Linked DNA regions of Tamandua tetradactyla. The protein of the gene in region 3 interacts with the protein of the main gene of each other region in a pairwise test. Links are inferred from orthologs where the notes say so. Each region holds a gene or a part of one and is shown on either strand. Other genes may lie near its edges. The genes, in order: COPB1, PRC1 and TRIM37.

Region 1 (9,965 bases), on a different chromosome or scaffold from region 3:
TCAGAGTAGAAAACCATTCATAAAAACCCATTTTAAGATTCTGTTCCTTAAGAACCACTCCCGGTACCAAGATGTATTAGTTAGGGTTCTCTAGAGAAACAGAACCAACAGGGAACACTTGCAAATATAAAATTTATGAAAGTGTCTCACGTGACCGTAGGAACGCAGAGTCCAAAATCCACAGGGCAGGCTGCGAAGCTGATGACTCCAATGGATGGCCTGGACGAACTCCACAGGAGAGGCTCACCAGCCAAAGCAGGAATGCAACCTGTCTCCTCTGAGTCCTCCTTAAAAGGCTTCCCATGATTGGATTTAGCATCACTAATTGCAGAAGACACTCCCCTTTGGCTGATTACAAATGGAATCAGCTGTGGATGTAGCTGACGTGATCATGACCTAATCCTATGAAATGTCCTCATTGCAACAGACAGGCCAGCGCTTGCCCAATCAGATGAACAGGTACCACAACTTGGCCAAGTTGACACCTGTCCCTAACCATGACACCCATGTTGCCAGGAAGGTCCACATCCCTGGGAGTCATGTCCCATGCAGAGAGGGGGAGGGTGGTGAGACTGCTCGTCATGTTGGCTGGAGAGGGAGGCCACATCTGAGCAACAAAAGAGGCTCTCTTGGGGGTGACTTAGGCCTAAATTTTAAGTAGGCTTGACCTATCCTTTGTGGGGTTAAGTTTCATATGAACAAACCCCAAGCCTGGGGGCTCAGCCTATAGCTTTTGTTGTCCACACTGCTTGTGAGAATATCAAGAATTCAACTTGGGGAAGTTGAATTTCCCCCCACTCTCACCATTCCCCGAAGGGGACTTGCAAATACTTTTCCAGTCACTGATCAAATCACTCTGGGATTCATTGGGGCATCATTCTGGACAAACCAACAAAATCTCATGTCCTACCTGAGATTCCAAGTGCTTATGACATTCAATCAAACTATCTACATGAGTTATATTAGGAAATGCTCTAGTCAAAATCTAAATTTTGTAACAAATAAACATTTTTTGCTTTAGTCTCACACATAAGGTGACATTTTAAAGTATTAATTATCATCTATTTTCAGCACCCTGCAATAATGACACTCCTTTGTTCTTCCTCATGCAAATACATTTTTTAAATTTGTTCATTATACATTTCACTACTATTATACACTCTAGGTATTCCTAGATTATACCATCTTGATCTTTACCATCTATCTTTCTTTCTGATTTCATTTATGTCCCCAGCCCTCCTCCCTCTATCATTCTCACATGCAGCTTCACTCAGTGTTTTAACATAATTACATTACAGTTAGGTAATATTGTGCTGTCCATTTCTGAGTTTTTATATTCAGTCCTGTTGCACAATCTGTATCCCTTCAGCTCCAATTACCCAATATCTCACCCTATTTCTATCTCCTGATGGTCTCTATTACCAAGGAAATATTCCAAGTTTATTCACTAATGTCAATTCATATCAGTGAGACCATACAGTATTTGTCCTTTTCTTTCTGGCTAATCACACTCAGCATAATGTCCTTAAGGTCCATTCATGTTGTTACATACTTCATAACTTTATTCTGTCTTAAAGCTGCATAATATTCCATCTTATGTAAATGTCACAGTTTGTTTAGTCAACTGTGTGTTGATGGACATTTTGGCTGTTTCCATCTCTTGGTAATTGTTAATAATGCTGCTATAAACATTGGTGTGTAAATGTCCATTTGTGTCCTTGCCTCGTGTCCTTTGAGTAGAGACAGCATATAGGTTGGTCCTGTTTTTTAATCCATTCTGTCAGACTATGTCTTTTGATGGGAGAGTTTAATCCATTAACATTCAGTGTTATTACTGCATGGGTGGTACTTTCTTCTACTATTTTGCCTTCTGGGTTTGATATGTCATATCTAATTTTCCTTCTTTTTACCTTTACTCATAGTCTTCCTTTCTACACTCTTCTCCACATCTCTCTCTTCTGTCTTTGCATCTGTCTCTAGTGTTCCCTTTAGTATTTCTTGCAGAGCTGGTCTCTTGGTAACAAATTCTCTCAGTGATTTTTTGTCTGAAAATGTTTTAATTTCTCCCTCATTTTTGAAGGACAATTTTGCTGGATATAGAATTCTTGGTTGGCAGTTTTTCTCTTTTAATAATTTAAATATATTATCCCACTGCCTTCTCGCCTCCATGGTTTCTGCTGAGAGATCTGCGCATAGTCTTATTGGGCTTCCCTTGTATGTGATGGCTTGCTTTTCTCTTGCTGCTTTCAAGATCCTCTCTTTCTCTTTGACCTCTGACATTCTGATTATTAAATATCTTGGAGTATGTCTATTTGGATCTATTCTCTTTGGGGTACGCTGCACTTCTTGGATCTGTAATTTTAAGCCTTTCATAAGAGTTGGGAAATTTTCAGTGATTATTTCCTCCATTAGTTTTTTTCCTCCTTTTCCCTTCTCTTCTCCTTCTGGGACACCCATAACACATATATTCTTGCGCTTCATATTGTCTTTCAATTCCCTGAGTCCCTGCTCATATTTTTTCATTTTTTTCCCTATAGCTTCTGTTTCTTGTCATATTTCAGATGTTCCGTCCTCCAGTTTAGAAACCCTATGTTCTGTCTCTCGAAATCTACCATTGTAGGTTTCCATTGTTTTTTTCATCTCTTCTACTGTGTCTTTCATTCCCATAAGTTCTGTGATTTGTTTTCTCAGACTTTCAGTTTCTTCTTTTTGTTCTTTCCTTGCCTTCTTTATATCCTCCCTCAGTTCATTGATTCGGTTTTTGATGAGGTTTTCCATGTCTGTTCGTACATTCTGAATTAATTGTTTCAGCTCCTGTATGTCATTTGAATTGTTGGTTTGTTCCTTTGACTGGGCCATATCTTCAATTTTCCTAGTGTGATTTGTTATTTTTTGCTGGTGTCTAGGCATTTAATTACCTTAATCAGTTTATTCTGGAGATTGCTTTCACTTCTTTTATCTAGGGTTTTCTTGCTGGATGAATTTGTTGTCTGTTCTTTGACATTCCGTTCAGCTTTATCTGGACCTTTAGCTTAAGTTTTGTTTAACAGAGGAGAATTTTTCAGTTCTTGTTTTCTTGTTTCTTGCCCTGCTTGTGTGGTGCCTTCCCCCCACACACACTTAGGAGGGTCTACTTGGATATTATATACCCCAGCCAGATTTTCCCAGACCAAACTGACCTCCTATCAGGAGGAAAGAGTCACCTGCGTCAGTTTTCCCTGAGGGTGAGACCCAGCAGGTTGAAAGACTTTCCTGTGAAGTCTCTGGACTCTGTTTTTCTTATCCTGCCCTGTGTGTGGCGCTTGTCTGATTGCAGGCCCCACCAGCATAAGATGATGCAGTACCTTTAACTTTGGCACATTCTCCCTGCTGATGGCGTGGTGGAGACAGAGGAGAGGTTGTAGGCTGGTTTTAATGGCTTCACATTACCGAGCCCTGGTGTCTGAATTCCTTGATGGATGGATTCCACCTGAGCTGGACTTCACCCTTCCTCTGGGGAAGGCACAGCCTCCAGACAAGCCCCCAAAAGAGCTCACTTCTGCCTATGCCTTGGGCAGTTGCAGCCTGAAAAGGCCTATCACTGTATCCAGAGGCAGTCAAGCCTTTGTAGATACACAGCCACAAAAACCTGTTTCCTTCCTTTTTTTCCCCCCTCCCCTTTTTCTGTCAGTACTCCCCCTTTGGCACCGGGGCAAAAATGAGCAACCTCCACTTTGATCAGGTTCACCTAAGCTGGGGGCCTATTTTTAGTAGTCAGAATTTGTTAATTATTTTCACAATTGGCGTTTGATTGTGCCCAGTCCCTGCTGCTGGTAAAGTCCTTTCCTTTCCCCTCTGGGAAGCGGCCTGTGGGGGAGGGGCGCTGGCCACCGCAGCTTTGGGAACTCACGGTTCTGGGGGGTACTCGCAGCTGGTCCAGCTGGTCCAGACTGGGGTACGCTGTGTGTTTGGTCACTGACGTGGCCCCAGGAACTGTTCTGTACTGTTTCTGCTTATTTAGTAGTTGTTCTGGAGGACGAACTAAAACGTGCACGTTGTTAAAGCCGCCATCTTGACCTGGAAGGTGGCCTTGATTCTTGAAGAAGATTGTATAACTATATAGCATTTACAATATGACTGCGTGATTATGAAAACCTTGTGTCTGATGCTCCTTTTAATCAGGGTATGGACAGATGAGTAAAACAATAAGGACAAAAATAAATATGGGGAGGGAATGGGTAAAAAAATTGGTTAGATTGAGATACTAGTGGTCAATGAGAGGGAGGGTAAGTGGTATGGGATGTATGATTTTTTTTCCTTTTTATTTCTTTTTCTGGAGTGAAGTAAATGTTCAAAAATGATCATGGTGATGAATACACAACTATGGTATGATACTGTGAACCACTGATTGTATACTTTGGATGTTCTAGTTTGCTAGCTGCTGAAATGCAATATACCAGAAATGGAATGGCTTTTAAAAAGGGGAATGTAATAAATTGGTAGTTTACAGTTCTAAGGCCAAGAAAATGTCTCAATTAAAGCAAACTTATAGAAATGTCCAATCAAAGGCATCCAGGAAAAGATATCTTGGTTCAGGATTTCTCTCTCAAGTGAGAAGGCACATGGTGAACGCAGTCAGAGTTTCTCTCTCATCTGGAAAGGCACATGGTAAACATAGTCAGGGTTCCTCTCTCACCTACAAGGGCACATAGCGAACTCAGTGTTTCCTTGCATCCACAAGGATTTGCTCAATTCTTCAAATATTTGGTTATTAATAATCGGCCAGGAAACCTTCTTTTGTGGGGGTAGGGGATCACAGACAGGCAAAAAGAGATTGTTTAATTGTATCTGTAGCAATTAGTTTTGTGGGGAAGATAAAACACTTTTAAAACAGTTACTGTCGATTCCCTTTGACCATAAAATAATTTTAATTTCCTGGATGCTCAGAATCACAAACGGAAGCATTACTAAATAAAGAGCAGAAATCATACCGGTGCGACTCGGACTTTGATATTTAAGCTACTCTCGCCGAACTGCAAAGAAGGCGAGATCAAACAACTGAAGATGTTAGGAACTGAAAAAGATCTAGCAGATAATACAGCGTTCCTTATTACAAATACAGAAATTACCTTCCCAAACAGTAATCAATTACTTTCTTAATTCGTGGGTGAACTAGAAAACAATCCCGGGCTTCCAGCTCTCAGTCCAGTGCTTCCTCTGGACCCAACAGCCATAAAGTAAGTCTCCCCTCTCTACGCGTTTCCTCCCCACGGCTGTTCTAGTTCCTGGAAAAGGGAACGATTTCTAAGTGGCGTGTGAGGAACCACAGCGCTGACTTCAGCGCTTGGCCTGCAGGGAAAACTTTATGTGTTTCTACTTTCCTTTGCGGCTAAAACCAACAGCGGACCGGAGAAGTAAACGATATAATTGGCGGCGCGCAACCGCAGAACGGAGACGGCATGGCCTCTCTGACTTGCCGTAGACACTAGATAGCTGCAGGTCTCGGTCGTTTTCCCCTCCCCTTCCACGTCAGCCTGGGACTCTAGGCCCGCTGCAGCCGCTGTTTGGAGCCGGAATAGACCGTCCTGCCGTTGTCCGAGCCGCTGCCCCTCGGAGCCAGGTAGCGGGCCACTAGCCCCCAATCCCAGAGGCATGGCGGGCAACGTAGAGTCTGTGGAACTAGCTTTCTAGCTGAGAGATGCGAAGGGGGTGACTAGGCCGCTGGTGTCGGGGCCTGGCGAAAGGGAACAGGGGGGCTGGGGAGTTCTCGGCCCGAAGCCCCACACCGGCCTGCATGCTGGCCAGGGGTCGTCTCCCTTCCAGGATCCCTGGATTCGCCCTTTCAGGCCCGTACTGGCATTACGGGAGGAAACCGGGCTGGGGATGGGGTGGGGGGCGTGCAGCGCACCGATTGAGGGACTGACTGACGGACGCAGAATTGAGAGCCCAATGGACGGGATAAAAGCGCTTTAAGATTTTGGCAAAGTGTTCATGCAAAGGGTCTCATCAACTTGAGCAGTTCGGATTGTATGTTATGTTAAAGATTTGTGGGGTGGAGCTGAGGGCTGTCACTGTTTTGTGGACTTTAATTGTATAGTACAGCATTCTCAAACCCTGGGCGGGGTACGAGGATGCGATAGGGGATAAATAATATCCCTTAACCTGGGGCTAACTTGTTTTATATTACATTATGATTTATTTTCATAGAGACCCAATAGAGATTGACCCTCCCCTCCTAATATTTTCAAACCATTATGCCCAAGCGAATGAACTTTAGACAGTAAAGGTCACAGTAGTTACTGGTTTGTGTGTGCTTAACATGTAATGATATCTTGTATTTATTTTTTCTAGATTTTCTGGCGTCTGTCAACCTTAAATCTTTTATTGGGTTGATTATAATCGGAAACCATGACGGCTGCTGAGAACGTGTGCTATACGTTAATTAACGTGCCTATGGATTCAGAGCCACCATCGGAAATTAGCTTAAAAAACGATCTAGGTAAACTTTAATAATATTTTGAAAACGAAACGGTAAAAAGCTAAAATATGAAAACAAAAACTCATTAGGATTTCAACTTCCACTGGAAAGACTTACTTTTTGTCTAAATATTTCTTTCTAGGGTCTCTTCAGTAGACCTTCTGTCTTATTAAAGTGAAAACTTGTTACCTTTAGACTTGAGATATTGGGCTTTGGAAGTAGAACATTTCAATTTGCTTAGTAAAACTAAATGAAAATGTTATCGTTTAGTTGTTAGGTATCCTTCTGCATAATGGTTTGTGAAGTTAAATGTGTTATGCTTAAATGAACTGAGAGTTCTCTGTGGGTAGCAGATTGAGGATGTGTATTTGAATGTCTTACTTTCTTTGGGAAGTTAACTTCATATTATGTGGATTATAAAATGAAAAGGACTTTGTTCTTAGGTGAACAAATGAAGTCAACACAGGAATAAAAATGTGTTTTCCGGAAAGGTTTGAGTTCTTCATTTTGAAAACATTTTTTGCAAAGATAAAAACAAGAAAAAATTTAACTTGAATTTTGAAACTATATATTGTGTGTTTGTGACTGTTGAAAAAACACCTCTTAGAAAGTAATGCACTTTGCACTTTCCAAAGTAATGAGCCTTGTTATTTGAACTATTACCATAACTTTAACTTAACCTGTAACTAATGTTTAAAATAGAGTAGCGTGAAATTAATATTTCAGAACTTAAAAGTATCTTTCAGAAGGCAGTTTGCAGTTTGGAAAGAAACTTAACATTTTACTTGCCTGTTCCCCACCTCTTAATCAGCAGTAATGGAATATCTCCTGATTTTTGGGTACTTTGTATTAGATTTCCGTTGGAATCAATTATTAGAGAAGGGAAAAGCAACTCTCTTTTATGACATTTAAACTGATAACATTTTATGCAAAGGCCACGTATATAGTCGTCTTTTTTTTTTTTTAACATTCAGGTAAGATAGTAGAATGGAATGTAAACTAGTGAATAAATTCTCAATACTGTTCTTCTTCTTATAATTTAAAAGTTCATATTAGACTTCAAAAATGCTTATGGTTGTAGCTGGGAAGTTAAAGAAGGAACTCAGTCCTTAACTGGAACAATACTTTTTCTTTAATTCCAGCTGTCTAAACTACCTTCCCCCCACCAATAAATAAACAAGTAGTCTCAAATTTTGTGTATTTTTTTTTTTGCTCATCTCAGAATAATTGAGATGAGAAAAAGTTTAAGAGCTATTTTTCAGTTTTAAGTAACCAGATATATGTATATTTTTTTGGCATGGGCAGTCTCCGGCAATCAAACCCGGATCTCTGGCATAGCAGGCGAGAATACTGCCACTGAGCCACCGCCCAGCAGATAGTTTTTGTTAGGTGAAATATTGAAGTGCTTTAACTATTTTCTTTTCTTTCCCTTCAGAGAGTAGTTGTGAGGTCCAATAACTGTACATTCCTTGGAGTAGGAAGTATTTAGTGTATTTTGGTGAATTCGATTAGTACTTGAGATTTTCCATTTTTTGATAGTGTTCACAGAAAGAAAAAGTTTTGGAAATTTTGAAGATGTGGAAAGAAGCATCCTTCCTTTCACCTCAATTTGAATTGTTGGGGATAAAATGGAAAGTGGGGTGAGGGTTTGAAATATAAGTGGTGTCAATTTTTTATTTTTTGGCAAATTGACCATTAAATTTATTTTTAAAACTTCTAAATTGTTTTAGTGTTAAAAAATTTTTATGCTTTTTGAAATTTGTGTCCTTTATGTCATCAAATATTTAGAAAATTATCTCTCTCTGTTTTTTTTTAAAAATTATTTAGAAAGGGAGCTTTGGAACAAAGAGAGGGAAAGCCTGTGTAAGCTCATTGAATATGACTTTAACTACTTGGAACTTTGCCTTATTTTTCTTATTTTCTTAGTTATTGCTTTCGCCACTGTTAGTTCTCCTGATACTTTGTTTTTGTCATTCTCACTGACTTAAAAATGGAAAATTTGCCTAGATGGATATTTACTTCATCTTGTTGCATTTATTTCTTGTTTTGATAGTGTACGCACTAATTATTTTTTTAGTGACAGGAGAGTGAAGCAGGGGAAGATGCATGAGAAGTTAGCCTATATTAAAATAAAAATGTTGGCTAGGGAATACATTGTCAGTAACCTTCACTATATTTTCAATCCAGATATCTGAAGGTGGTCTCTATTCTGCAATATGTGAAAATATCATCCAACTAGTAGTAGGTATATAGATAGCCTTTGGGTGCTGGAAAGAACTTTTGATTTTACCTAGTATAATTCTTCTGAAGCTTAAATCCTTCCTGTAATCCTACCGTGTGATCATTCACAATCTCTAATGGTGAATAGAAACTTTGGCAACAGGGAATTCTTTACATCTTAAGGTAACCAGTTATTTAACAGCCAATTAGCTCTAATTATTGGGCATTTCTTTGTCGTGTTTGAGCCCAAATCTACTTTTATAGTAACTTTTGTCTATTAGTTCTAGTTCTGTTTTTTAATTCATGATAACTCTCAAGATTATCAAAGACTCTTGGGCGGGCCGCGGTGGCTCAGCGGGCAAGAGTGCTTGCCTGCTATGCCGGAGGACCCCGGTTCGATTCCCGGCCCCAGCCCATGTAAGAAACAAACAAACAAACAAAATATAATAAAACAAGAAAATGTTTAAAGATGTCTCCCTTTCTTCCTCCCTTCCTTCCTTCCATCCTTCCTTCCTTCTCTCTGTCTTTCCTTCCCTTCCTCCCTTTCTCTTTAAAAAAAAAAAAAAAGATTATCAAAGACTCTTGTCCCTTTTTGTCTTCCCCCCCAGATACTATTTTTATGATCTAAATAATTGTAGTAGCAACTGTGTTTGTTTCTTATATTTCTGCCTTTGAATTTTGGATCAAAAAGATTTTTACTGCCATATATTCTTCAGTATGCAACAGTGTTAATGATGTGAAATTGTGGGTTGTTTTGCATAAAATACTTTATATTGCTTATTTTCATGCTGAATAGCAGTAAATTAGCATCTCAAATGTTTCCTCAATTCTAAATAATAGTTAGTAATGTCAAACATTTTAATTTTCTTCCAATTTTTCAGACAATTTCTTAGGAAAAGGTCTAAAGTTTTATAGTTTGTAGAAATATGATGAAATTTAGAATTCATCTAATTTATTAGTTCCTAATCTTTTTGAGTATGAGGGTCCTGTTCCTGTGTCACTGTTTCCCCCAGTAGTGGCTGTGACTCTGAAAAAAATACACTGACAAAAACTACTTTGAATTTAGAAGCACTTATCATAACAGTATCTATATACATTTTGAAAAATAGCTGCATGTGTGTTTCACACATTATTTGGTATACCTATACATTCATGGACTCTGTATTAACTCTGTGGCCCATTAGTTAGGGACCAGAGGTATAAACCATTATCTTTGTGTTGTATGTAGAGAATCTGGGGCTCAAAGATAAATGAGTTATGCAGAGATATACAGCTTGTTCATGGCAGA
Region 2 (9,965 bases), on a different chromosome or scaffold from region 3:
GTGGGAATAAAATTGGCATGACCACTTTAAACAGGTGGCAATATCTACCAAGGCTGAACCCAGCCGTTCCACTCCTAAATATATACCTAGCAGAAATGCAGATTTATGTTCACCAAAGACATGCACAAGATTGGTCAAAGCAGCACTATTCATAATTGTCCAGAAGTAGAAACCTAGATGACCATCTACAGAATGGGTAAATAATATTATATTCCTGCAATGGAAATAAACCAACCACATACAACATGGATAAATGTCAAAAACTTTATGCTGAAGTGGAAAGTGAAAACATTACGCTGAGTGAAAGAGTTTATATACTATATACTATGGCTATATACTATGACTCCATTTTATGAAATTCTAGAAAAGACAAAACTACAGTGAAGGAAAGCAAACCAGGTGCCTGGAATCAGGGGAGGGGATCAACTGCAAAGCACAAAGAAACTTTTCAGGGTAATAAATGGTTCTATATATTGATGGTGTTAGAGATTATATAAATGTATACAACTAGCAAAATTTAAACTTTACTTGTAAAATGAGTCAATTTTACTGTATGTAAAGCATACCTCAAATCTTAAAAAGAGGAAAAAATAAGTAAAAAAAAAGTTGTGGGCAAGGGGAGAGAAAAATTACAAAGATCAGTGCAGTAAGCGCCCTGAGCCTTCCTCACAGCCTGGCTGGCCCGGGACCACCAGGTTCTCTCTAAGGCCCAAACCCACCAGGCCACCTACTGCAGGCAACCCCACTGCCCCCAGGGGACAACAAAGTTCCACCACCTTCCAGCAAAGGCCTTCTGAAGACTTCTCGAGTCTGTCTGTCTCTCTTTTTTTTCTTTAAATTTTTATTGTGGTAGCATAGATACAACACAAAATTACCCATTTTAACCACTTTCTTATGTACAAATGAGTGGCATTAATTATGTTCACAATATTGTGTTACCATCACCACTACCCATTACCAAAACCTTCTCATCACCCCAAACAGACACTCTTATTTGTACCCTTTAAGTAATATCTCCGTATTACTCCCTATTACTACTCACCCGCCCACCCTAGGCACCTTGTAATCTACTTTCTGTCTCTATGAATTTGCATATTCTAAGGCATTTCATGTAAATGAAATACTTGTCCTTTTGCGTATGATGTGTTCAAGGTTTATCTATGTTGTGGCATGTATCAGAACTTCACTCCTTTTTATGACTGAATAATATTGCATTTTATGTATATACATTTTGCTTATCCATTCATCTATTAATGAATATTTGGGTTGTTTCGACCTTTTGGCAATCATGAATAAGGCTGCTATGAACACTGGTGTACAAATATCTGTCTGAGTTCCTACTTATGAACCTTTTGGGTATATATCATGAAGTGGGATTGCTGGATCATATGGCAAATCTGTATTTAACTTTCTAAAGAAATTCCAAATATCAGGTTTGTCTCTTAACCGTTCCCACCCCTCACTCCTCCCTAAGACTGAACTTTTGGAGCCCCTCACTGAACCATGAGCAAGTCTTATCTTCTGATGAGTCCATGCTTCTGCACATCCAGTGCCTAGCACCTCCTCTGAAGACCTTTGTACTCATCACCCCACCCCTGTCCCCCAGCGGGGGGATCACATCTCAAAGCAGGGATCACATCTTATCCATCTTCATTTTACCAAATTCTAGTCCACAGTAGTTGCTCAATAAATGTAAAATGAACGGCTCTGAATTCTTGCCAAAGGTCCACTATGCTTCTAACTTATGTGCTCTCAGACCCTGATAAATAGCCTAGCTCTATAACACATTCAAAAGGAAAAGTGATCATTTTTCTGAATAAAATATATGGCATAATGGACAAAGAATCTGAATAGAAATTTCCCCAAGGAAGATATACAAATGGCTGACAAGCACATGAAAAGATGTTCAACATCATTAGTCTTCAAGGAAATTCAAGTCAAAACCATGAGATACCATTGGACATCCACCAATGGAGGGCTGTGCTGGTTTGAAAGGAAGTATGTCTCCTAAGAAAAGCCATGTTTTAATATAAATCCCATTTCATAAAGATAGAATAATTCCTGTTCAATACTGTATGTTTGAAACTGTAATGAGATCATCTCCCTGGATGATGTGATTTAGTCAAGAGTGGTTGTTAAACTGGATTAAGGGACGACATGTCTCCACCCATTTCAGTGGGTCTTGATTAGTTTGTGAAGTCCTATAAAAGGAAATATTTCGGAGAATGAGAAATTCAGAGAGAGCAGAATGACATAGCCACGAGAAGCAGAGTCCACCAGCCAGTGACCTTTGGAGATGAAGGAAAATGCCTCCCAGGGAGCTTCACGAAACAGGAAGCCAGGAGAAGACGCTAGCAGATGATGCCGTATTCGCCATGTGCCCTTCCAGATGAGAGAGAAACCCTGAACTTCATCAGCCTTCTTGAACAAAGGTATCTTTCCCTGGATGCCTTAGATTGGACATTTCTGTAGACTTGTTTTAACTGGGACATTTTCTCAGACTTAGAACTGTAATCCAGCAACTCATTAAATTCTCCCTTTTAAAAGCCATTCCTTTTCTGGTATACTGCATTCCAGCAGCTAGCAAACTAGAACAAGGGCAATAATAAAAGATAGGCCGTAACAGGTGTTGGCAAGATGTGAAGAAAATTGAGCCCTCTTACACTGCTGGTGGAAATGTAAATGGTACGGTTGCTTTGGAAAATAGTCTGGCAATTCCTCAAAAGGTTAACATGTGGCGCTGCAATTCCACTTCTACGTATACACCCATGAGAAATGAAAACATGCCCACACAAAAACTTGGACACAAATGTTCATAGCAGCATTATGCGTAATAGCTAAAAATGGAAACAACCCAACTGTCCATCAAATGATGCATAAATAAAACATGTTCTATCTACACAACGGACTACTCAGCAGTAAACTTTGAAAACCTGCCAAGTAAAAGAAGCTACTCACAAAAGACCATGTACAGTACAATTCTATTTATAAGAAATATCCAGAACAGGCAAATCTATCAAGAGAGAAGTAGATTAGTGGTTGCCTTGTGGGAGGGATGTGGAGGGAAAGGGGAGTCATTAAGAATGGTATAGGTTTTTTGAGGAGGAAGATAAAAATGTTTTAAATTGTGGTAATGGTTATACAATTCTGTGAGTATACTAAAAACCAATGAATTGTACATCTGATAGGTGAAATTGTATGGTATGTGAATTATATCTTAATTAAGGTATTATTAAAAAACATCGGACAAATAATTTTTTTGATTTGTGACAAACGAAGAAGTTACTAATTAATTCAGTCAAATTATTTTTACTAAAAATGACATGCAATGGGACATAAATTTGCAGATCTTAAATCCAGTTAAAGCCAAGTCAAAATATCTCTATAAAGAGGACTACTAAACTCCAGCAAGTGGACCACTAACTGAAAGCAATACTCACAAAATGTGTGATACAGATAAAGCTTGATAGTCCCTTGGAGTTTGTTACATATAACAAATCTTATTTGGCATGTTGGAAAATAGAGTTTGGGGACCATATATTCTAGTGAGAAACAGTTCACAAGAAAGCACAACTTGCAAAGATTTAAAAATAGTATTTTCCATCCTCAAATTCATATGTAACTGTCAGAGACCCGAATACCCAAAACAATTTTGAGGAAGAACAAAGGTGGAGGACTCACACTTACTGATTTCAAAGCTACAGTAGTCAAATCAGTGTGGCACTGGCTTGAAGACAGACAATCAGACCCAACGAAATGGAATTGAAAGTCCAAAATTAGACATACATATCTATGGTCAACTGATTTTCTATAATATCTATGATCATATGGTAAGAATGCTTGTGTTTGATTGTTATGTATAAAAAATTTAAAAATTAATTAAAAAAACATTAGCCATTAGGGAAATGCAAATCAAAACCAATGATACCACTTTACATCCAAAATGATAGCTATTAAAAAAGTAAAAATAAAAATAAAAAATAACAACTGCTACAGAGGAGACAGAGAAATTGGAACTCTAATGCCTTGCTGTTGAGAATGTAAAACAGCCACCATGGAAAGCAATGTGCAATTCTCCAAAAAGTGAAATATATAAAATTACCACGACTCAGAAATTCCACTTCTAGGCATACACCCACAGAAAGTGAAAACAGGGTCTCAAACAAATATCTGAACACCAGTGTTTATTAGTAGCATTATTCACAATAGCCAAAAAGTGGAAACAACCCAAGTGTTCATCAACAAATGAATGGATAAACACAATGTGAAAAAGCCACACAATGAAATGGTATTTGGCCAGAAGAAAGAATGAAGTCCTAAGGCATGCTGTATCACAGAAGAAACTTGAAAGAATTCTGCTCAGTGAAATAAGACACATAAAGTCATGTATGATATCACTTATAAGGGATGACTAGAAATAGCAAATTCACAGAGATAGAAAGTAGATTAGAGGTTTCCAGGGGGTGAGGGGAGGGAAAATGGGAATCCTTGCCATAAGAAAACTCCTCCAAAAATGTTTGACTCAGCATCTTTAAAACAAACACTTCCCACTGTTCCCAACACTCAGATTATACTGAACTTAATCTACCATCATTCTTACACCTCTCAAATTCCTGCCATTAGCCCTAACGAGAACTCCACTCCTCACCACCTGGACTCCTGTCGCCCTGCAGGCCACCATCATCTCTTGTCTGTATCTTAATGGCCTCTTCACTAGTGGCCCTGCTTTGGCCTTGTCTCCTTTAAGCTTATTGACAACACAGGAGCCAGAGGGCTCCTGTTAAAACAAAGATTATGTTGTTCTTGTATTCAAAACCCTCCAATGTCTTCCAATCTCACTCAGACTGCAAACCTATGCTTTTACAAAGGCCTAGGGAGCCCTAGTCCATTTGCAACCCATTACTTCTCTGAAGCTCAGTGCTCACCCTGCTCCAGGTATATCTGCCCCTTGCTTTCTCTAACATAGGAGGCATTACCTCACCTCAGAGCCTTTGTATTTGCTGTTTCAGCCACCTGGATCTCTTCCCTCAAATGTCTGCATGAAGATCACTTTCTTGGGAAGGCCATCAACAATCTCTCTACAGCTCCAATTCTCCTTCACGCACATAGTTCTTATTCTCTTTCTGGGTTTGATTTCTTCTGTAGCCCTTATCACAATTAACTAAATTTGGTAGATTGAAATGCTAGTGATGAATGAAAGGGAGGGGTAAGGGGTATGGTATGTATGAATTTTTTTCTGTTTTTTTATTTTTTTTCTGAGTTGATGCAAATGTTCTAAGAAATGATCATGATGATGAATATACAACTGTGTGATAAAAAAGAATGTTCATATTGTAAAAAATATATATATATATAAAATTTACTTATTTACCACCTTTCTTTCACTACTAAAATGTAAACTCTGTGAGGGCAGGGTTGTCAATTTTGTTCACTGCTGTATCCACAGCACTTAGAATGGTACCCTGCATATTTAGTTAACATTCAAGAAGTAATTCTGAAAGAACAGCTAGACATTTCCAAAGATGATGTATGATCTTATATGATATCTCAGGGTGATCATTGTGAATAGTAATTAATATGGTACAATTATATACTGTCTTGCTAAATGTTTTTGGGTTATTCTGTAAAAGGAACAAATCAGATTTTTTCTTATAATGCATCACTGAAAAACTGATGGTGCCTACAAGAATACCATCCAAGGACAAGAAGGTTGTAAAAGGGCCAATTCTTTTCATCTCTTGAGCATAAGTTACTAGACTGGAAAATATCTCACGTGGTTTTCTAAATTATTTCCTGCCTTTAAGCAGACTTTATCTGATCCAATGTCCTATTTTCCCTAGTTCTCTAGAGAAGGAGCTTTGTTAACCACCAGCACAATCAGCTGCAGGAATGGATGGCCACAATACATTCTGAGGTCATCTGATAACCACCATGTTTTTGAGGACTATTTCTGACGGCCACTTCTAACTATGAATATCTGAAACCCAGATCACCCATGTCTGATATTCCTTAGTAGGTTAATTCTTATTGCTGCTATAAAGACTAATTCTATCTCTCAATGTGGAACCAAAGTTAACACACAAGTTTTTCTCCCCTTCATTTACTCTCTGGAAACCGGAAGATGGCTGAACAATCCATAAACTTACTGGATGTGGAATAACAGATTACTGTCAATGTCATGGAAGGTTTTACTAGCCCTCAGAGTGCGTCATTAGCGAAAACCCACAGCAACTTAAAATATTGTTCTTTAAATATTAAGATGTTTATAAACCCACAATCTTACCCTGAGAGTTGCTTTTCCAATGGTACCAATGGTTGGCATTCAATTCCCATTCTCCCCAGGGCCAACATTTGAGAAACACTGGTTGGAATTAGTAATCATGGAACAAAGAATCTTACTAAGCCCCAAAGCAATAAATTTGGCCAACAACTACAAATTGTTTAATACTGGGTCTTTACAATAATTCACCTACTACTTTCAGAAAAAGGAGTGAGCGTTTCTACCCACAGCTCTTAACACACAGTCGCAGGCGCTGACATCATCTTAGAGGGGAGCGAACCGACACGGACATCCTGCCCCACACCACGGAGCTGCGGGGCGGCCGCGCCACGCGTCGGGTCCGCATTTGGAGGCGGACACTCCTTTCCCGGCACCGTCTGGCAGGCTGTTAACGGCCGGAAAAGAATTCCATAACGGGAACTAATCCACCTTTCCAACCCAAGTAAGAGAACGCTGCCGCCCAGGTACCCAGCAGCTCCCACCGGCGTCCCGGCTTCACTAAACCAACGCGACGCCGCGGCCGGGAGGCAGCGCCGGGCCGCGCGAGGGTGGGGCTCCGGCCCCCGTCGCCCCGGACCCGACCGGCAGAGCCCCCCGCCCCGCCTCGCCTCCGGGGCAGCTGCCCTCGGCCCCAGCCGGCGTAGACCCCGCCGGGTCCCGCGTGCGCCCCGGAGCCTCAGCGCCCGGCCTCCCTGCACCGCGGCCCGCCGCCTCCCGGCCCTGTCCAGCCCTGCCCAGCCGCGCCCGGCCGCGGGAGGCCGCCGAGCCCCGCACCCGGCCCGCACCCAGGCCGACGTCGCCCCTTCCCGCGCCCCACACCTTCTCCTCATGGCGGACGCTGCACGCAGCCGGGCGTCTAGGCTCGCGACCTCCTCCCCGAGAGCCCGCTCGCAGCACGAACCGACGCTCACGCCTCGGACAGCCGCTCCGCGAGCCGTTGGGCCCCGCGGAATTTCAAAACGGAGCCCCGGGCGGAGCCGCCTGGCGATTGGTGCCGCGTCCCGTCGCTCCCCACGAGGCCCCGCCCCCGCCGGCAGCGGCCGCAACTGCGCAGTCGGACCCGCGTTCGCGGGGCTGGGCATGAGAAGCGCTCGACCGCAGGCGGAGGGCGCGGCGGCCGGGAGGGCTCGTTCCCCCGCCCCGGCCCTGGATCCGTTGGAGCTCCGCCCCGCGGCTCGCCGAGGCCGCGGGAGGGCTCGAGCTCCCGCGCGGGGGACGCCCTTCGGGGCGCGCAGGTAGGGCGCTAGGTGGCCGCCGAGCGGCGAAGTGCGCGTCTTCCGCTCCCCGACGGGGCGGGCCTGGGAACGCGCCCGGTGCCGCCGGCTCGCGGGCCGGTGCCGGCTGTAAGCGGACCACCCATCTAGTCCTCACCACGTTCCTGTAGGGTTTCGTCGCCCTGCTCAGAGGGGAAACCCGCCCAGGAGGCGCTGGTCCATGCACACACGGGGGTTGGCGTGAAAGGCCACCTGGGCGTAGCTTTCTTTCGGGTTACGCGGGGGGTACGTAATTATCATGGAACTCGCTTTAGCCCGCAGGTGACCACACGTAGTAGTTCCCCCTCCTTTTCTGCCGGGACACGTCCCACATCCCCAAATGCTTATATGGAACAGTTTACGCCAGTGACTCGTGGTGGTATAATATCCTGTCGTGTGGACAGCCTATACTTCAACTATTTTGCTATTGATGGATATTTAGATTGTAATTTTAATAAATATGTAACGTCTATGATAACGGTAGGCTAAATGTTTTCATTCATAATCTTTGTGTCTTGCATTATTTTCTGACGGTTGACTCCTAGAAATGTCATGGAATGTAAATGATTTGAACACTTCTATTAATTTGCCTTCCCCACCAAGAATACCAGAGGAGTCCCTTTGCTCATTTTACCCTCAGCATGGTACTTTCAAACCTCTGCTAGTTTTGCAGGCAAAACATAGCATTTCCTTGTTTGAGTCATACTTGTGTGATTACGACTGAAATGTAACAATAGTAAAAGTCATGGGGGCGATGCTAGGGTAGTTCAGCAGTAGAAGTCTCTCCTACCATGCGGGAGACCCAGCTCGATTCCCAGTCCATGCACTTCCCAAACAAACAAACAAACAAGCAAAACAAAAACCAAACAAACAATTCAGCAAATGGTGCTGCAATAACAGGATACTCACATGGAAAAATAAAATGAAATGTGACCCCAACATACAGCATACAAAAAGAAAAAAAAGTCATAGAAACATTGGAAATATCCATTCTAGAGTGCATACTCCAGCGTGAAAACACTGTATATTGTCCTTTTTTTGTTTGGAAGTCACTGCTGTTTTTATTTTAGTGACATATGTACAACCTAAAATATCCCCCTCTATAGGACCCTTGTACAGATTGTACTATAATAAAATTTCCCAGTCACCCAGCTTTCCTGTCATGAGACCTAAGTCCTAACACAAGCCACCTGTCTTTACTCAGTTTAATATCCGGTCACTCAACATGCTTTTTTTTATTGTATGCTGTATGGCAGGTCACATTTCATTATTTTTCCATGTGAGTATCCTGTTTTTTTCAGCACCATGTGTTGAATTTTTGTCTGTTTGCTTTTTGTTTGTTTTGCTTGTTTTGTTTTTTGGGAAGTGCATGGGCCAGGAATTGAACCCCAGTCTCCTTCATGGCAGGTGAGAAGTGTACCACTAAACTACCATTGCACCCCCTCAACATGCTTTTTGAGTACCTACAATGTGCCGGAAACTGGCTGGCTGATGGAGTCTTATCCCTGCTCTGAAGGAGCTCACAAAATGGTGGGTTGAAAGACAAATAATGTGATATATGATACAATTAAAGGAATATAATAAGTGGCATAGGACTCTGGAAGATGAAACATAATTCTTGCCTGCAGGAGGAAAGATAACTTCCAGAGGTGGCATTTGATTTGAACTTGGAAAGGAATATGAGTTCAGCCGGAAGAAAGAGAGGGGAGAGGCAGGCCAGATGGAAACAGAAGACACACAGGGACAAGGCAGGGAGGAATATGCGACAAGTTCCTGAAGGAAGGGGACCAGGCAGGTCAGTAGGTTAGGGCCAGGTAAGGGCTTTATATGCTGTGATGAGAGCACCTGATAGAGAGGCATCAAAAGCTTTTCCCCCTGAGAAGTGACAATATTTTAGAAAAGTAACTAAAAGTGTCTCCACTCCCTTCCTGGCTCCCCGCCCTCCTCTGACAGTTGGGTTGCAGGGGTGAGGAGTAGCGCTGCTACTGTGGCCACATTCACTTGTCCTCTGGAAGAGCAAGTGGTTCTGATGTATGAATGTGCCCTTCTTTTATGAGCCCCTAAGTACTTTTTAAAATCATGTTTTCTTCCCTGTCATGCCCTGTGGCAAACAAATTTGCATAGGGACTTGAAATAAAGGTTTTTATCTCTTAGAGTTGCTGACTTTCTTGAGAGGCAAGAGTTTTGTGAACTGATCATTATTTTACAAATTGATTGAAAGGACTGCCTTCTCAATCATACCACACAACCTTATATGGCAAGGATGTCTAAAATAAATTTTTAGGGTGTTTAATTTATGGTTACTGTGATTAGTAGTAGAAAAGACAATGCTGCATTGTGGGCAGAAACTGATAACTTCTTTTATAGTCCTATTTTTGTTTACAAATAAAAGTCTTTTAAAAATTTCATATCAGCCTTTCATTAGAACTGAT
Region 3 (9,965 bases):
TATATTCAGCATTAGTTGTCTCAGCTCCTGTATCTCATTTGAACTATTGGTTTGTTCCTTTGACTGGGCCATATCTTCAATTTTCCGAGCGTCATCCATTATTTTCTGCTGGTGTCTGGGCATTTGATCAGATTTCCCTGGGTGTGGGACCCAGCTGGTTGAAAGCTTTTTCTGTGAAATCTCTGGGCTCTGTTTTTCTTTTCCTGCCCAGTAGGTGGCGCTCGTGGCGCTCATCTGTCTGCACGGCAGTCGGCCCAGGAAACCGCGCGTGGAGGCGGGGGTTGCTGGCCGCCGCGGCTTGGGAGAGTGCTGGTCCTAATTGCCCAGCTGGCCCGAAACACCAAGCATGACGGGAGGGCCCCGCTATCCAACGTTCCCAGTCAGACCGGGGAGCCACGTGCGTGGAGGGGACCCCAGTCGCCAGCCGCCCCGGCCGGGAAAACGCGCGCCCCTCGGGTATCTCACCGCAGCAGATTCTCCCTGCCCGTTCAGCTGTTCCAGAATGGGGTACGCTGTCTTTTTGGTCTCTGTCGTGACTCCGGGAGCTGTTTCGTATTGTTTCTGTTTCTTTAGTTGCTTTTCTGGAGGAGGAACTAAGACCCGCGCGTCTTACTAAGCCGCCATCTTCTCCGGCTCTCTTTTACAGGTATTTTCTTCTCTGTTATAACTCCACCTTTTCCTTTGATCTTTCTTCCAATCTTTAGGGGTGTCTGGGTTATGCCCGTTCTAAATTTTTCATGTTGGAAAGGGCTGTCGATAACATGGGATAGAGGGACAGAATTAGTTGTTCTGGAGAAATTGGCCACTCTGCATTTCAGGACTTTTCTGGTCCAGGGCCCCATCTGGAGGGTGTAGGTTTCTGATCACGTGCTCGGGCCTCCGGGAGCGCCACATCGCCAGCCGCACCCCTCCACCTCCACCCTGCCCACGTGCCATACATACATTCTTGATAATAATTATAATTTATCTCAAATTTCCTTCTTTAAAATATCGCATAATTATAGCAATTTGAGGGATGGTGAATAAGTCCGGGTTAGTTTTAGTCCTACTTTATGTAATCATGTAAACATTCTAGTGCTTTGCCTGGTACATGTAAAACTCGGGTAAGCGCCACAATTTTTAACAGTTTTGTAGACTTAGTTTGTACCTTTTTATACCTTTTCTTGGTCTTTTCCAAGCTGGACTTAGTTTTTGTACGTTTATGCTTTATATATAGTAGCCTCTAAAATCCCTTGGCTATTTAATTGCCCTTTTTTTTTTTTTTTTACCAGCCACAACTTTGTATCTGTTCTAAAATGTGGGAAATAAAGTACTTATTAGTTTATAGGTTGGAATTCTCCAAACTTTTTGCACAAAAGCCAGCTGATATTTTATGTTTAATTTTCAGTACTGTTCATATTGTTTATCAGCCCACGTCAGCACAGCAGCTCACTGGTTTGATGTCTTTAGGAAATAGTCTGGTGTGACTTCTACCCTCTTGGACATTGCATCCCATCTAAGCTTCAGCTTATTCATCCATAAAATGGGGAAAATATTTCCCCTGCCTACCTCAAATAATAGCTAAGGTTTAAACATTTAAAGTAAGACAATGGCGGGTGCAAGGGTAGTTCCCGCCTGCCATGCAGGAGCCCCAGGTTCAATTCCTGGCTCCTGCACTTCTCCCCTTCCCCCACCCCCAAATTTTTTTCAACAAATGATGCTGCAATAATAGCATAGACTCATGGAAAAAGAATGAAATGTGACCCCCCACCCCATACAGCATACATAAAAAAAAAAAAAAAGATCATGCTCATGGAAGTCCTTCGTATATTCTAAAGTACCTCATAAATATAAAGGATAATTATTACTCCTTTGCTTGTTACTGATAGTTCAGATCCAATTATATTCTAAATACAATTTAAATATTTTTCCAAAACTTTCCACAGTAGAAATGATTCTGCTCATATGTATAGCAATGAAAATATTTTTCTATTTGAACAGTTATAAACATTTCTAAAGTATACATTGCATCCCATGGTTCCTTTTTTTTTTATTATAAAACCTTAACAAATAAATGTACATTCTCGACGTACAAACATTCCATTCATGGTGTACAATCAATGGCTCACAGTATCATCACATAGTCGTGTATTCATCACCATGATCATTTTTTTGAACATTTGTATCACTCCAGAAAAAGAAAAACCTCATACATACCATAACCCTTACCCTTCCTTCTCATTGACCCATGGTTCCTTTTTATTGCAAACATTCTAGAGGACTATATCAGTTGGCTATTACTTCCTTTTCTCCTATCAAATTATATGTACTTGAGCATTGAACTGATTTTATCACAGCAATTTTCTCAATATAAAAGTGAGTATACTGAGTTTATAATTCCATTTAAAATATTGTCTTTGTTTTTGAACATAGCTTTGTAGTTTTTGTGAAACTAATATATGGGCATTGTGTCATGATTTTTTTAACTTTTTTTTTTTTAACAAAGGTAAGAGTAAGTTACCTGAATTCTATTGCTCTGAGTTAACTGGTAATATTACAGTGAATATCCATAGCACATATAAATATGTATTCATTTTAATATAATTGGAATCTTAGAATACATATTCTGTAATTTGCTCTTTTCACTCAACAATATATGGTAAAAAAAAAACAATATATGGTAGACATTTTTCCTTGTCAATAAATGTAAGTCTTTATCATCATTTTTTATGTCTGCATAGTTTTCATTATCATTATTTACTTAACCTGTTCTTTATTGTTGGATTTAGGGCTTCTACAAACAATGATGAATACTTGTGAAATTTTCTTTGTAGAATAAACTCCTAGACCTAGAAATGATGGGTCAAGGAATGTACACAATTTATGTTTTCATACATATTACTAAATTGCTCCTACAGAAAATTGGCCCATGCTCTAACCTATTATCAGATTCCCTTATTCATAGTTGGAAATCCTGTTGGCAGTCTCTCAGTACATCAGCATAGTAGCAATTTAGTACAGTAGTTTTCTTACTTTGAACAGTAGTATCACAACTAACTCATGAGCTTCTTCAGAATTCTGGGGTTTGTTTGTGCCTTCTGGTCCTAGTAATATGTGTCCCTCATCATTTGCCTCTACTGTCTAGAACACTAGTGATTCAGACAGTACAATTTTACATGAGATTGAAATGACAAGGAATTGTTGGACTAGAACCCAAGTGTTCTTTTCACTGCTTCTTGGATCTGCCGAGTCTGATATGCTTCAAAGGACAGTTTTGAAGTAGGAATTTCCCTTATGGTATATTCCATAAAGAGCAAGACTATTTGTTTCAAGAAAACTGATGCTATTTCCTCTTTAACTTCTTGACCAGAATGAAATAGCAATATCAGTCACTAGATGTAAAGTCTTGGGCAAACTACTTACTTTTTGTACTTTAATTTTACCTCATTAGATCCTCATAACTGCCCTGTGAAATTAGATACTACTACAGCCATTTTACAGATGTAGAAACTGAAGCTGAAACTAAGTGGTATGCCAAAGTCACTTAGCTTGTAAATGGTATACCTACGTATAAGGAGTCTTAAGTCTAGAGATCTTTTTTGCTAATCTACAGGTACCTCCATATCTGATAGTTACCTATTTTTAGTTAATGTTTATTTTTCTGGTAATAGTTATCAAATACATGTATGTGTCTGTGCTCATTCTAAGTAGTTGTCAATAAATTTAAAGAAGAGTTGCCATCAGGTGATATTTTGGAAAAGGGAAACAGAAACTTACATATCAGCTGATCTTTATGATATAGTTTGATATAGTTCTTAAACCTTAACAGACGGTTTTTCAATCTAAGTTTTCTTAAAATGTTTTACTTTTTTAAAGTTTGGTTTTATTTGGACATTTGTACACTTAGTTCTTTTTCTTCTAAAAGGCATTTACCATTTCTTTGGTATATGGGGTCAGATCAAGAAATAGTTTGCTCATGGTAAACTGATGCAAAAGTCATTTCCAGCTACTTTTTTTATTCCCCAGCTACTTTTTTAAACCTAATGAAGACCCATTTTTCAATAATCTTCTAAATTTTGTTTACTCCTCTTAAAGATAGACTTTTTAGGAACAATAGCATGTATTATTAGCATAGAAGTAATCATCTATTCAAAATTCTCTTATTTTACAGACAAAAGTAAGAGAAAATGAGTGATTTTATCCAAGGCTGGAGCAAGAATCACAAGATTTTAAATACTCGCTCTGCATTCCTCTTCTGTGGGAGACATTTACTTGCAAATTGTCTCCTTCAGCTCTGGATGCTTTTGCCTTTTATTGTGTTCTTATTGTTTTAGTAGTTTGCAATGTGTATGATAAAAGTGAAACAAATAGGGCCTTCTGGAATTTAGTTGCCAGTCTTTCTAGGATATTTAAGTGATATCCTAAAATCTTGCCAGCGTTTCCTTATTTTAAATGAGATTTTCAGTCAACAAATATTTGAGTCCTGACGTGCAGGTGGCACGGGGAATTGCATTTTCACAGTGAATTGAAGGAGGAGAGGAGTCGGTTTCTTAAATATTTGACTAATAAACTAGTACCTTTAACTGTATATGACAACAGGGAAAATTTTTCCTTGGCTAGACAAACTGAGGGGTTTATTATTTGTTTAAGCAAACGTTAACACCTCCATCAGTAGCAATTCGTTATATTTCCTAGAATAGGGGCTAAGAAATACCTTGGAGTCTTTCCTTCCTGATGTGATTTCCCAATTATGTCATACCTTCCTGAGGCTGCACTTAAATCCCACTTTTCTGCATGAGCGATGGCGAAGGCACTGGCAGGTTTCCAAACGTCTGCCTCAGTTGGGAATTTCTTCCAAATGTTGCTGTCAGACCACAAAGCTAGCTGGTAAAGTGCTCACAACCGAACTTCAGAAGGCGCCTACCCAGGAGCCAGAGCGCGCCTGCGTGTAGGAGCCCCTTTGTTACTCCGGCGCTGGGGTCTGGCTGCGCCTGCGTGGTGAGCCGGCAGGGACAACTGCGCTGCGCGACTGGCACCAGCTGGGGGCGAGCAGATCTCCGACAGTCGCCGCCGCCGCCGCAGCCGTTGCGACCATCGCAGCGGAGTTCAGAGGGCCCGGAGGTGGGGGACTTCCCACGCTGGGACTGAGATGTCGTCCACCGCAGCGTTTTATCTTCTCTCCACCCTGGGAGGGTACTTGGTGACCTCATTCTTCTTGCTCAAATACCCGACCCTGCTACACCAAAGAAAGAAGCAGCGATTCCTCAGTAAACACATCTCTCACCGTGGAGGTGAGAGGGGTCCCCAGAACCCGATGGCAGAGGGGGAGAAGCTTTTTTACCGACTAGAGCTGAGGGTCTGTTGGATTTTCGAAAAAGGCAGGCGGATGGAAATAGCGTAAGAGTTTGAGGAGGAAAGCGAGTGTGTGCAGAGAGGACATCCCCGGAGGTGAAGACGGTGTGAAGGGGGAGGTCTCTGAGGGAAGAGAAGGAGTCTTGAGGCAGAGCCAGGGTGGTCACGGTGATGGGGTCTCTCCAGGGCAGAGGGTGCGGTATGAGGGGTTCTGTGAAGGAGGAAGGAGCAGGGTGACAATGAGAGGTAGATAGACGGAGCGTTTCTCGGTGGGTGTTTAAGGATAATCGCAAGGTCCCATCACAGCTGCGAGACACATTGGGGGAGCGCGGTGCAAGACTGGCGTACCCAGCCTGGGGAGCTGGGTGCTCACGGCTCGGACAGCGAGCGGGTGGCTGAGCGTGTGGGGAGAGCCTGAGTGATGAGCTTGGGCACCTGAAGGCTTCCAGGGCTTGGGAACAAGATGAAGCCCGTGCAGTGCTGCATGCAGCCCGGGTATGTGTAGTCCCCGGGGGCAGGTGCTGCCCCCACGCTTTGAACACTGCTGAAAGCGGTGGCCCAGAGTCACACAGAGGAAAACCGAGGCCCATTGTCGGGGGACACTTCCCAAGGTCACCGTGGGAACTTGGGCAGGAATGGGAAAAGAACTGGAGTGACCTGGCTCCCAAGGCTGCAAACCTTGCACCTATTTTATTGAGCCTCACTCTGCACCTCGCGGTGACATGTGGATATCTAAACGGCTAAAAGATGACTTAGTTTATGACAGGACATTATTGTTTAAGGAACACAAAGACAAATTTCTTTTGGAAAAGTGTCTTGCTAAAAGGAGTCTAGGCAGTCCACCCTCTAATTTTCCAGGTTACAGCCCAAATCTTTTCTTCTTCATTATTGGATAATAATGTGTCTTCATTGCATTTCAAGGATGATGTACGAAATGTTGTGAGATGGGATTATTTCAGTCCATTTTAACTGTTCTTTAGGGATGAATTTCAAAAACCAGATTAAAATTGCTTGGGATTTACTGTCTAAATCTTAAACTGGTAAATTCTAGGAGATTACATTCTAAAATTCAATTCAGTACCAAACACCTTTTCTAACAAGAATTGTCATCCAGGACTAAAATTTAAAATGTCACAGAAATACATAACCTGTACAATTTTGTAGTTATAGTTTTGAGTAGTAATCCTAACCTCCTGCTCATGAAAAGCATCAAATATTTAAAGGGTTACCAGCTATAAAGTGCCATGTTATTGCTTATTTGGTTTATTTGTGTTTTAATACGTGATTAAGCTGTGAGATGACATGACTAATGTACCTTCAACCATTCGAACCAAGAACTGTTAGTGTTTAAGATGTTACCACAGAAGCAATTTTCAGCGTTTGTAGTCCTATTTTGGGATTATGCAGTACCCATTGTAGTTACCAATTTATAAAAAGAAAAGTGTGCTTATTAAAACAAAAAAAAAGGCTTAAAAAAACAGATTCTCTAAAATCTATGTTGTCATTAGGTATGTTCTAAATTTTATATTAGGAGAAATACATATTAGTGTTTTAATATTTGTGACACTCTACAGGTGAAAAAAAGATGAAGTCCAAAGAGGTTAAAAAATGTGCCCTACAGGGTGGGCTATGGTGGCCCAGCAGGCAGAGTTTTCACCTGCCCTGCCAGAGACCCGGGTTCGATTTCCCATACCTGCCCATGCAAAAAAATAAAAAGGGCTCAACAATGCAACAAGTACCAAAGCTAGGATAAGTTAGGCCTCTGATACTCATTTACTGTTGGGAAATATTTCTTAAATATTTTATCCTTATGTATTAAGTCTTTTCAGTGGTTTCAGTTTAACCCCTTCTATAACAATTTCCATTCATTTTTTATAAATCTGGCATTAATATTTCTATATTCAAAGATGTAACTGAGAACCTTGTTAAAGATCTGCAGACTCAAAATCTGTTTATTTACCTGCATGATGGTCCTAAAAGCACCTGAGAGTAAGTTCTCATCTCTTAGTGATTAATAGGCTTTTGTTGAATATGTCCACCAAAGAATACAGTTGATTCGAGAGATATAGAGGAGACATTTACTAAAAAAGCATTTTGTAATTCAAGATAGTAAGTCTATGGAAAATAAGACATAGTTGACTAGAAAGAGTTCAGCTCCTCCCTTGCATTTTATTTTTGAGTTGGACTGATCAGAGATTTAGTCTCTGTGTGCAAATTGTTAACATTTGGGCTTATTATCTCTTCCTGTAACTGCATGTACCTCAGATTCCATGTAACTAGATTATTGACCATTCCAAAATTGAAACACTGATTATTATATGTACATAAAGTATATATACCTGAATTGGTATAACCTGAATCACTTAAGGTCTACTACATTATATCTACACAAAAACATTATGATAAAGACTTAGACAACCTGAATCAGATTCTGGTGCTACAAGTAGTTAGCCTTAGGAATAAGCCTTAGTTTCCTTATCTCTAAAATGGGGACTTTTTGCCTTACCTGTTACGTCTTTGGGTTGTTAAATGGATCAGGTATATTAAAAGCACTTTGAAAACTAAAATTGCTTAGAAATATAAGTGTGGATTCAGAGGATCTGCAGTTGTATTTTGCAATAAAACATAGGATTATAGAGAAAGAATGAGCTTATCCTATACTTACATTTCCAAAGTTGTAATACATTTGCGTTTTACTAAGATGAATTATTATTTTTTTTTGGGGGGGGGTGCATGGTCCGGGAATCAAACCCAGGTCTCCCGCATGGAAGGTGGGCATTAAGATGAATTATTTTTGAGAATAGAAAAATACTCTTTCAAAAATTAAATGATATAGGCTTTGTTCTTACCTCTTTAGGGCGTACATGAAATTACATTATATTGTAATATGATTTGTTATTATATCAGCTTCCCTTACAAGACTGGGAGTTCTTCAAGGGTAGGGATAAGGTTTTATTAATTCTTTTGTCACTAGCCACTAGCATAGATGCTAACATATAGCAAAAATAATAGCTAATTATCTGCCGACTAACTATTGAATGCTAGATGCTTTCCACATGTTTCTCAAATCTATTTGGACAAAAAAATTTTTATAGTTATAATTATTTATGAAACACTAATAGAATGACAGATATATCCTTTGGATTAAATGGAAAGCAAGCAATAGTCTCAAAAGGCCATTTACTTAAATATTGTTTGAAATTTTGAGATTTATTGATATTTTAATTTATATTTTTCCCAATTGCATAAATAACTCATGTTCAGGGTAGAAAACATAGAAATGAAAAAAGAAAAATAAGTTCTTAAAACTTTATTATCTGGGTTAATCTCTGTTATTATCTTGAGGAAGTATACCCTTTAATATATAGTTTCCTATGTTTGGAATCGTACTTGTATATACATTTATTAAAAATACCTACTGAGTTAGCTAAAGAAATAAGGACAGCAGGGAAACAACTTATTTTAATCCTCCCTAACCTATCTGTGTACCAATTGAATTAAGCAAGAAGCTTTTTAAAAGAGTGCTGTTTATTAGGTTTCAGTAACCAAAGAATAAGACAGTAGCTACAAGTGATCAAATCCCCACCTTGCCTCCTAATTTTTCTTCCTTGGTCTCAAAGCAAAGTATTGTTACAATTTGGGCATCCTGCCACAGATTGATTTGGAAGGTGATGAGTTTGAGGAGAAAGGTTGCTCTTGGACAGTGCTGAGCCCAGCTGTGTCTGGGCCCTTAACTTTAATTGGTTATTCAAGGAGGAAACTGATAAACAATGAGAATCTCAAGGTGTCACTAGAAGTAGCATTCTGTTGCTGCACCCTGGAACATGCCCCATGTCAGGTTATTGATTCTCTTCAACTCTTGTTCCCACATTCCTATTATCAGGGAATCCTCCTCACTTAAAAAAAATTTTTTTTAATTGTAAAATATAACATATATACAAAACAAAAAAGAAAAAAAGCAGTAATTTTCTAAGCACATCACTGAGTTTGTCATGGACGACCATTCCGCCATCTCAGATTTTTCCTTCTAGCTGCTCCAAAACACTGGAGGCTAGAGGAATATTAATATAGTGATTCAGTAGCCATACTCGTCTGTTAAATCCTATTTTCTCTATTATACCTCTTCTTTCTCCTTTAATCCTTCTCCCAACCTATAGGGAACTATGGGCAATGCCTGTCCTGACTTTCATGTTAAGAAGAAGTATCTCTAGAAAAGCATAAAAAAAGAAGGGGTATCTCCCTGGTTTTTGAAAAGTGAGGACCTTATTCCAATGGTTTGCTCATTCCTACTGATGGCATATTAGCAATGGAGTAATTTATCATTTATTTAATAGTACTTTTGTACTTAATAAAGCAAGCTTTAGTAAACTTGAAACTAAATTTTATTTATTTCCATTGGACAACTTATATATACCTTAAACTTTTTAACAATACATAAGCCTTAATTTAAAGATACTTTATTGCTAAAAAATGCTAACCATCATCTGAGCCTTCAGTGAAATGTCGATGTTGATGATTGCTGATTGATTGGGTTGCTGACGGTTAGGATGGCTGTGGCAATTTCTTAAAGTAAGACAGCAATGAAGTTTGCCTCATCAGTTGACTCTGTTACCAGACAAAGGTGGGGGATTCTT

Evidence for each region.
Region 1: the proteins of TRIM37 (region 3) and COPB1 interact in binary tests that used the Homo sapiens proteins (3 or more experiments, as listed by UniProt). The two-hybrid records come from large-scale screens. The link is inferred for Tamandua tetradactyla from reciprocal best matches to the Homo sapiens genes TRIM37 and COPB1.
Region 2: the proteins of TRIM37 (region 3) and PRC1 interact in binary tests that used the Homo sapiens proteins (3 or more experiments, as listed by UniProt). The link is inferred for Tamandua tetradactyla from reciprocal best matches to the Homo sapiens genes TRIM37 and PRC1.

The regions. Positions count from the first base shown.
Region 1 is NC_135334.1:89,869,604-89,879,568, reverse strand, and holds the start of COPB1 (coatomer subunit beta), read left to right. Parts: upstream 1-5,446; 5' UTR 5,447-5,599; intron 5,600-6,330; 5' UTR 6,331-6,387; coding exon 6,388-6,478; intron 6,479-9,965. UniProt on the Homo sapiens protein: The coatomer is a cytosolic protein complex that binds to dilysine motifs and reversibly associates with Golgi non-clathrin-coated vesicles, which further mediate biosynthetic protein transport from the ER, via the Golgi up to the trans Golgi network.
Region 2 is NC_135338.1:98,268,644-98,278,608, reverse strand, and holds the start of PRC1 (protein regulator of cytokinesis 1), read right to left. Parts: upstream 6,461-9,965; 5' UTR 6,352-6,460; coding exon 6,284-6,351; intron 1-6,283. UniProt on the Homo sapiens protein: Key regulator of cytokinesis that cross-links antiparrallel microtubules at an average distance of 35 nM. Essential for controlling the spatiotemporal formation of the midzone and successful cytokinesis.
Region 3 is NC_135332.1:40,338,580-40,348,544, forward strand, and holds the start of TRIM37 (E3 ubiquitin-protein ligase TRIM37), read right to left. Parts: upstream 4,965-9,965; 5' UTR 4,739-4,964; exon of another isoform or gene 4,694-4,738; intron 1-4,693. Other genes in the region: lysophospholipase D GDPD1, read left to right, coding at 5,129-5,270. UniProt on the Homo sapiens protein: E3 ubiquitin-protein ligase required to prevent centriole reduplication. Probably acts by ubiquitinating positive regulators of centriole reduplication.